Daphnia pulex: one gene and its partner. The protein of the gene in region 1 purifies or fractionates together with the protein of each later gene. This does not show direct contact. Links are inferred from orthologs where the notes say so. Each region holds a gene or a part of one and is shown in the gene's direction. Other genes may lie near its edges.

What was found. The genes of interacting proteins can lie anywhere in the genome.
Region 2: the proteins of homeotic protein deformed-like (region 1) and homeobox protein extradenticle-like fractionate together in Drosophila melanogaster (co-fractionation; 4 studies listed by BioGRID). This does not show direct contact. The link is inferred for Daphnia pulex from reciprocal best matches to the Drosophila melanogaster genes Dfd and exd.

The regions. Positions count from the first base shown.
Region 1 is NC_060024.1:12,446,520-12,451,163, forward strand, and holds the start of homeotic protein deformed-like, read left to right. Parts: upstream 1-1,730; 5' UTR 1,731-3,190; coding exon 3,191-4,133; intron 4,134-4,336; coding exon 4,337-4,644. UniProt on the Drosophila melanogaster protein: Sequence-specific transcription factor which is part of a developmental regulatory system that provides cells with specific positional identities on the anterior-posterior axis. Homeotic protein controlling Drosophila head development.
Region 2 is NC_060023.1:11,355,729-11,360,329, forward strand, and holds the start of homeobox protein extradenticle-like, read left to right. Parts: upstream 1-1,697; 5' UTR 1,698-1,784; exon of another isoform or gene 1,785-1,874; intron 1,875-2,131; 5' UTR 2,132-2,207; coding exon 2,208-2,378; intron 2,379-2,440; coding exon 2,441-2,582; intron 2,583-2,647; coding exon 2,648-2,898; intron 2,899-2,988; coding exon 2,989-3,179; intron 3,180-3,254; coding exon 3,255-3,390; intron 3,391-3,458; coding exon 3,459-3,558; intron 3,559-3,637; coding exon 3,638-3,789; intron 3,790-3,856; coding exon 3,857-3,916; 3' UTR 3,917-4,601. Other genes in the region: surfeit locus protein 1-like, read left to right, coding at 388-429, 491-580, 652-776, 839-1,024, 1,076-1,249, 1,306-1,519. UniProt on the Drosophila melanogaster protein: Transcription factor which acts with the selector homeodomain proteins altering the regulation of downstream target genes such as wingless (wg), teashirt (tsh) and decapentaplegic (dpp), thus affecting segmental identity.

The DNA.
Region 1 (4,644 bases):
CAGCACATCAAGTTTGAACTAAAGTTCATTAAGTTCCTCGGCAGCTATACACGAGTCGAGACTTCATAGTAGTTTGGCAAATGGTCGCCAATCATTTCCTTCCCAATCAGGTATCGAGAAGTGGGTAAAGGCGAAAGAAGCTTCCGGTTCCGGTCGAGAAACGGGAACCGAATGAAAAAGAGAAAAAAAAAAGGAAATTGTTTTCTTTACCCCTTTGAGTCGGCTATCTAACCTTTCGTATATGGAGCGATATGATGATGATATTTCATAGCGTTTGTCTGCCCTTGACTGAAAAATAAACGAGAAACAACACCAGACGGACAGACGGACGGTTCGATAAATCGGGTGCTGCTACACAGTGCGTGTAGTATAGAACTCGGCAAAAGCAAACGGCACAACAACGGCGTCGGGGGGTTCTCTCTCTCTCTTTCTCTCTCTATCTCTCTCCTCTTTGGCGCATTGGCGCGGGCATCATTAATCATTACGCCAGGCGCATGACGCGGCTGGATTTTTTAAGAACCCGCTCGCTAGCGGAAAACGCATACAGCCGCCCCCCTCTTCTTTCATTCGTTCTCTTATTTTTTTTTCCCTTCTTTCCTTTTCTGTCTGACTTTCTTTTCTTTTTTTCTTCTTCTTCTTTCTTCTTTTTCTTTCCCCTTTTTGTGGATATTTGTCCGCCATCAGTTGCTGGGCTCAGGAAGACGAGGAACGTCGCGAGTTCTGCACTATTCATCTCGCCAAAAACTGGATTCACAGTCAGTGGGGGGAAAAGAAAACTTTTCTACGGAAGGGATTTTAATAAAAAAATAGGACGGTCTTTTTTAAGTCAAAAACGCCCAAAACAAAGTTGAATCAATTTATGCGAGGCGTTGCCGAAAAATGGTGGAATCGGCCAAAAGCCCCCGACAAACTCGTCATCGTCCCTCTCGAGCTTTTTTTGTTTTCCCGTTCGAATTCAAAATGGCCTATCGAATGAGTAACTGATAAAAGCAGAAACGATAAAGGGGAAGAAAAAATGAAAGGGGGATGAAGAATAACAAGGTGGCGGCTGGGCATAACACGGCAATAACCGCGTGAAACATACACACAACAGACAAAGAGCCTAGAGATAAGAGTCTCGGCTAGAAAAGATAGAGGAGGTTGTTGCTGGAAAATAGACAAACTCGGGCCCACCGTTTCTCAGTCACTAATTGGAATTCAGTCGGTGTAGAACGGACAGCCTTTCTTCCGTGCCGCCCGTGAGTTTCCAGTACCGCAAAAAATAAAAAAAAACCAACAGGAAAAGTAGAAAAACAAAAATAAAGATAGGTATAGCAAAACCGAAAACCCCACCAAAAGAAACCAGATTTATTTCGGAAGTGTCAAAAACACACAAGAGTTGATTGTGTTCTTTCCAGTCGAGCTGAAAACAAATGACGTTTGCCGACCGATCCCGCCTAGTTTCTCGGTCAGGAAAAAGAAAAAATACAGAAATCCGGAAAGGACTTTCCAAGGAGACTCGTTGGTGTATTTCCGTGCTCCTCCACCTTGTCTCTCAATGCACCACATCGTCGTGGAAATTGTCTCCCACCCACCCTTTCCAACATCATTAGCGCCACAATGTTGCCGGGGCCGGAATTGTCGCTGGCCAGCAAAGACACACACACACCAAAAGGGTTGCGCTGCTGCTGCGCCGTGGCACCCCCCTATTTTTCTTCCCTATCCGACCGAGTGGCACAAACATCTTCCGAGGGTGTCGGTAGCGGGCCAAGACGACTCTCTTTCCACTGGCATGGAACCGGACTAGTCGATCGTTCACCGTCGACCAGGTCTGAAGTGAACAGTGTCAGCCCTCGACCAGCCGAAAAAAAAAGAAAATAAAAAGAAACTTTCTCGATCATCAAACACTCGTGTCCGAGCGATCCATTAACCATCGGCGGTATAGGAGCGAAAGAAAAACGAGTGAACAAAAATACAAAAGAAGAAATTTTGCCGGTGTCCATCCATTTCCTTTTTCGGTCCGGCAAAACAGTAGGTAGTGGTGAAACGGACAACAAGAGGTGAAACACGATAATTGAAATAGACATCTCTCTCTCTCTCTATTTTTGTGTTAAAAAAGTGCACAGCTGCCATTGTCAGCGAGAGATCCGTGGTGCGTGTCGACACCAAACACGGCAGTATTCGTGTCAGAATGAAGCGCAACTGACAGAGTGACAAGGGAGAGGAGGAAAAAGTGGATGTTCGCCCAAGACATCCGAGGGTGTGTCAAGTCGTGTGACATCGCGGACGCTGCCGGCGCACCAGCAGCAGCACCGACCATCGCGCTAAAAGCTCTCAACAAACAAAACATCAACCCGTAGCGGGTCGTAATACTACTCTCCTCATTACCCAACCAATCAGCTCCAGCTGCGTCTGTCTCATCACACAAAAAATCGACCGGGAACAAAAAGCTTCTGCCCCCCTGCAGTCGCCATTGAAACTTTTTCGACAATCATTTCAATTCATTCAGCTTTCAACAAGATTTCCATTTCGCTTGATCTTTAGACTATAAGACCCGGGGTTCACTTTCGGAAGACATCAGCCGCTAGAGGCGCATGTGCCCAACTTGTGTGTGTGTGAGGACTTTCTCTGAGCAAATCATCGATCACATCCGCCGCCGGCTGCGCCGGGTTGGGGGAAAAGCTCTTTTTTGGATCACTACCACCAGACCAGGGCTCCTCTTTTCCAGTGTTCCCTCCCACTCTCTCTCCCTCCCCTACCCCGACACACCCGCTACCCCGTGTGAGTTAAGAGCGTAGAGAGAAGTCGAGGACATCGGCGATTGGTCGACAGGGCCGAGGTCACGTGGCTCGTCCTTCCCCCAACGGGAGGTGGAGCCCCCCGCCAGTTATTTGCTCCAGTCCGCATCGACTCTCTGGCACTGGCACTGGGCACTATAAGCACAAGACATCAACCAGCAACGCGGGCCGGCTGCGAGGAACAAGAAGAGCGCGGACACACGACAATCGAGTGAAGAGTGAAACACAGACAAGACATCAGAGTTAGTTACTAGTGAGTGGCCGTCGCCTCCGAATCACATGAGTTATTGGTTAGTTTCGTCACGAAAATAAATTAAAAAATAGTGACGACTCAATTTCGTATTGACACACAAGAGTCCCAGTCAACATCATCATCATCATCTCCTTGTGTCAATCAGTGGAAGGTAGAATTGATGATCGCCATGAGTTCGTTCTTGATGAACTCCGGGTCGTCGCAGTACGTCGTCGACCCAAAGTTCCCGCCGAGTGAGGAGTACAGTCAGAGCAGTTACATTCCGGCGGCCGTGTCCAGTGACTACTATGTGCCTCACCACCAAGTCCAGCACTACCACGGCTACCACGGGCACCACACGCATCACCACCACAACGGAACTCATCCGTCGTCCGTCACCTCGGCCGCTTCCATGGGCTATTACGGCCAGCATCCCAGTCACGGGGGAGCGGTTGTCAGCGCTGGCGGATATCACGGCGGAGGAGCCTACGGAGCCAACGGAGCGTGCGGAATCGCTGGCACTGGCCAGCAAGTCCAAGTGCCCATGACTGGGCATGTCGCCCCGACTCTAGGCCATCACCATCAGCACCAGCCGCAACAGCAACATCAGCAGAGTCCGGGAATGATTCAACGATCGCCCGCTCCCTCGCCAACGCCTTCGTTGACGTCCATGGTGACCTGCCCGTCCCAGCAGCTCGGGGCCCAACAACAGCAGACCCTTGGACACCAGCAGCTTCAGCTTCAGCACCAACACGTCCAGCAGCAACAACAACAACCTCTTCACCAGCAACAACTCAATTCCAGTCATTTACAACAGCAGCAACAACAACAACAGCAGAGTCACGGTGTCGTCGGCGGTGGTGGTGTCGTTTCACAGGCATTGATGCAGCATGACCAGCTGTCCCATCTCGGCTCTATGGTGGCTGCTCAGCAGGCCAACGGCCAGCAGCAACAGCTGCAAACACAGACGCAGATCCAGCAGCAAAATAACGCCCTGCAATTGTGCCAGCCACCGACGCCCAATAGCCCCGAATCCGATTGCGATGACGGGTCCGACATGTCCGACGACTCTCACAATCCCGTCATTTACCCGTGGATGAAAAAGATTCACGTCGCCGGAGCACGTAAGTTATTGCCATCCTTTTCGTACCACTTCAAAAAATTCAATTTGATTCTACCGACCCAATTATGTGTTTGTTTAAACCATAATTAGGCCTAAAAAAAAGTTTTCAATCAAAATGTTGATTACATCTCTAGTGATAAGATAAATTCCTGCACGATTCCGAATAGAACTGTATCACACACTATTTGCCTGTGTTTCATATAGCATCGTTGTCTGATGGTTTCCTAGCCAACGGAGGATTCACGCCGGGAATGGAACCCAAACGACAGCGAACAGCCTACACTCGCCACCAGATTCTCGAGCTGGAAAAAGAATTCCATTTCAATCGCTACCTGACGCGGCGCCGTCGGATCGAAATCGCCCACAGCCTCTGCCTGTCCGAGCGCCAAATTAAAATCTGGTTCCAAAACCGGCGCATGAAGTGGAAAAAGGACAACAAATTGCCAAACACGAAAAACGTTCGCCGGAAGACCAATCCGGCCGGAGTCACGACGACAGCCACCGGCGTGCCC
Region 2 (4,601 bases), on another chromosome or scaffold:
AGACGATGTGTTATTGTGAGTGTTGACAGTTGACTTGTTTGAATTCTAAATTCAGAGACCAAAGTGTGATGCTGCTTAAGCACGGACTCTGTATTTAAAATTGAACAAAACCTTATTGAAAAGGCTATTTTTAGATTTAATATAATGTAGCTTTTTTTAGACTTTTGTAGGTCATACGCTATTTTGATCTCTTTTTTTAAATGAAAAAAAAATCGCAAATATCCCTTCGGGTACCTTGCTAACGCAGGTAGCTGACAATTCACCATAGGTTTATCTGAAAATGCGCTAGGTGTCTCTGATCGTTCAAGTGTTATTCAAAAACTCTTCTGCACTTTTTTTGTGAAGACCTTTTCTTTTCCTAAAGAGATTAAATTGAAATTGATTACAATGCTCAGTTTAAGGCATTTTCAGAAAATTAGAAGAATTAAGGTAATTTGGTTTATAGCTTCAAAACTGTGTTTTTCAACATTCATTTTCTGCTACTATTCAGACATGTACACAAAATTACGTAAGACGATCAGCCTCAAGCTATGGGCAAAGAAATGCTGTAGATATCGGAATTCACGGTTATTCGTTATTGGTAAGATAATCGATTTTAAAAATAAAACGTACATATAGTTCTTTAACAAAAAATTGATCCAATAAATGTAGGCTATTCCAGCCATCACTTTCGGCCTTGGGACCTGGCAGATTTTCAGACGTCAGTGGAAACTTGGTGTTATTGATCATCTTGCCAGCAGAACGTCTGCACCACCAATTCCATTTCAGTCTACAGAGTGAGACTGATACAATTCTTTAACTCTACCCTTTTATGCATATTTACACCAATGCTCTACAGTATTGAAGGGCTATCTGACATGGAATACCGGAAGTTTGAACTCCATGGAAAATTTGAACATGACAAAGAGATTTACATTGGGCCAAGATCACTGGTTGGAAATGAAAAAAATGAAGGTGGTGGGATGTTGTCTTCAGGGCAGAGTGGCTATTTAGTCATCACTCCATTTAAACTATCAGATTCCAAGTAAGACATTCAAACAGTTAATTTTCTCAATTTTCTACAAGTTACTTTTAGTCTCACAGTTCTTGTAAACCGCGGATGGATTCCTCGTAAAAAAATGAATCCATTCACCAGACTAAATGGACAAAGAGAAGGCGAAACAAAACTGATTGGAGTGTACCGCTCTAATGAAAATCGCCCCCAGTTTGTACCCCAAAATCAGCCCAAAGACCGCATGTTTCATTTCAGGTAAAGACAATTATATTTTTCGCAAAGTTAGATAACTTCATATATATTGCGTACAGAGATGTGGAGGGAATGGCTCGGCTTCTAGACACTGCGCCAATTTTCTTTGACGCGGACGCTGATAGCACAGTACCGGATGGACCTGTAGGTGGACAAACAGTTGTTACTGTTAGAAATGAACACGTTTCGTACATTTTAACGTGGTATTCATTATCAATTATCACAGCATTTTTGTGGCATCGACGATTTATCAAGAAAATGCCTCTTATGTAACTTAAATGTATTTATCTTCATAGAGGTTAAAGTCAAATTAATACATTTTAACATCAAACATCATTATATTTTTACTCTTGTTGCGTTTTCATTTGTAAAAATAAAATTTTAATTAATAAAATTCAAAATAAAAAATAAATACAGTATCGCGAGTTTCTAGTACATCGATTATTGGCTTACCCGATATAATTATCGATACTTACCTTTGTGATCGCGTTCTCGCGTCTTTTTTGCTTTGTCCCGTCGATAATCTCGGCGATCTCTGGTAATTATTTTATGAGCCTTTGAGAAATGTGATTCAGTCTGTTTGAATACTAAACAACTCGTGAATTCCCGGTTTCAAATTGTGTGTCAAGTCAGTAAAGAAAGTTTTTATTCTAATTGAAAGAAATACGCTACGCAAGCAAACTTCTCTTCCATGGCGGACGCTTGTCGCCTTGGGCATTTTATAAGACGTTGGCATTTTTATATTAACCGAAGCCAATTTTTGTTATTTACGATTGCTTTCTTGCAATACTAGTGCTTTGTTGTGTCTAGTACATTTCATTTTATGTTTACATTTCATGAAATCACATGTATGGATGTTAGTAAACGGAAAGTCATTGTTTACAGGGTCTTTATTGCCAGGTCCTGTAGCCTGAAGGCAATACGTTTTGTGCAGTGACATTGGAAGATTTCATTGCTTTTGATGGATGATCCAAATCGACTTATGCATCCTGTTCCAGGTGGCCAGGTTGGACTAATGCATCAGCCACCGTATGGGTTACCTCCTGTCAATGTCGGAGTCAATGTTGGGGTTAACATGGCTTCACTTGATGGAGGGAACCAAGACTCTGAAAATATGACTGGACGAAAGCAGGTGTGTACAATTCCATTTCCAAAATCTTTTTTTCCTTTTAAGTAAAACTTCTTTTTTTTTAGGATATTGGAGAAATTCTGCAACAGATCATGAACATCACAGACCAGAGTCTTGATGAAGCCCAAGCACGCAAGCATACCCTGAACTGTCATCGCATGAAACCTGCTTTGTTTTCTGTCTTGTGTGAAATCAAAGAGAAAACTGGTAACCCTATTTCAATATGAATCCAAGTGATTGAATGGTAACATTAAATTGTGCTCTCACTTTAGTTTTGTCGCTACGCAACACGCAAGAAGAGGAGCCTCCAGATCCGCAACTCATGCGGTTGGATAACATGTTGATTGCTGAAGGAGTAGCTGGTCCTGAAAAAGGAGGTGGGGCCGGTGCTGCTGCCAATGCATCAGCTGCAGCGTCTCAAAGCGGCTCAATGTCGGACTCGGCTATTGAACACTCTGATTATAGGGCTAAGTTGGCACAAATTCGTCAAATTTACCATCAAGAGCTTGAGAAATATGAGCAGGTACACATTTTTAGCAATGCTTATTTTTTTATTGGACCTCTATGACAAGAAAATGGAGAATAACCATTTCATTTTTACATCCGCTTTCAGGCTTGCAGTGAATTCACCACCCATGTTATGAATTTGCTCCGAGAACAATCCCGTACTCGTCCGATTACACCCAAGGAGATTGAGCGGATGGTTCAGATCATTCATCGCAAGTTTAGCTCCATCCAAATGCAGCTGAAGCAAAGCACTTGCGAGGCCGTTATGATTTTACGATCTCGTTTCCTCGACGCCAGGTAAATTTTGCTATTTTTTTAAGGTTTGACCACGCCCATTAAAGGTGTTGTTCTATCGATGTCTTCATCATGTAGGAGGAAGCGGCGTAACTTCAGCAAACAAGCTTCTGAGATCTTGAATGAGTACTTCTACTCGCACCTAAGCAACCCCTACCCAAGTGAAGAAGCCAAAGAAGAGCTCGCTCGTAAATGTGGGATCACCGTTTCACAGGTTAATTTCTTTTTAAATCCTTTTAAGAGGAATAAGCGCATTAATGTTTTGTTATTTTTACAAAAAAGGTTTCGAATTGGTTCGGTAACAAACGAATTCGTTACAAGAAAAACATTGGAAAAGCCCAAGAGGAGGCCAACCTGTATGCTGCTAAAAAGGCCGCGGGTAGTTGTTTCCACTCTGAGGATTTTCAAATCCTCGTATTACCGGAGCGATTCTAATTTTCGTACTTTTTCTTTCTCGTTAGGTTCCTCGCCATACAGTATGGCTGGAACTCCCGGACCGATGATGTCGCCTCAACCTGGTGGTCCTGAACTCAGGGGTCCACAAGATTCCTTAGGCCCGTACGGTGCTATGGGACTCAACGGTGGTGACTTTCCTTCCTCCATGGGCGGCCAAGTAAACTACTTTTAATGACTTAACTAGTGGTATCTCAGCATATTAATTAATGTAAACGTGTTTGTAGGGCTATGGCGATTCATCGATGGGTTATGATCCAAGTATGCATCAAGTGAATTCACCCTGAGGGGTGGACGAGTGCCCCTTCTCCTCCTCCACCCTATTTCTCGGCAAATCAACTCTTAATTTACTAACTTCATCAGATCTTGATCATACTGTGCGTTACAAGCTATCTTCAGCTGTTCGATTAACTCGTTCTAACCCATCTCGTACTCCTTCTTTTGTCCCTTCCTCTCAGTGCAGCTTTGTTGTTTCGTCTTGATAGAAAATGTTTCTGTGGATCACCTCGATCGGTGCTTGTTTTTTCTCATTTGTTTCAGAAACCTCTGTAGTTTTAATCGCTTTTGCGTATAGTTGAAACCGTCGATGTAGTCGTTATCGTTTTTATTTGACAACTAGAAGTGAACCGAACATCTCCGATTACAATCACGTACGCTCTCCCGTCACCGAAAAAACGATCATCAGTATTCTCGAAAATCCACATCCCACGGACCCGAGTCCTATTTCTAAAAAAACAAAAAAAACACAAGAATTCCCATCAAGTTTGCGTTTTAACTGAAAAAAAATACTTTTCTTTTGATATGGTGGTGGAACCGAATGCAATTTTTGGTATTAGAATATTTTGCAGTTCCTCCTCTGTCCTATAAAAAAAATGACTGGCGCTTTGAAGTGAAGCTCAAAATATTTCTTTCTCGTTGGTACGTTTTTATATTATTTTCCACTAATCCGTGTCTCCTTTTTAAACACTATAT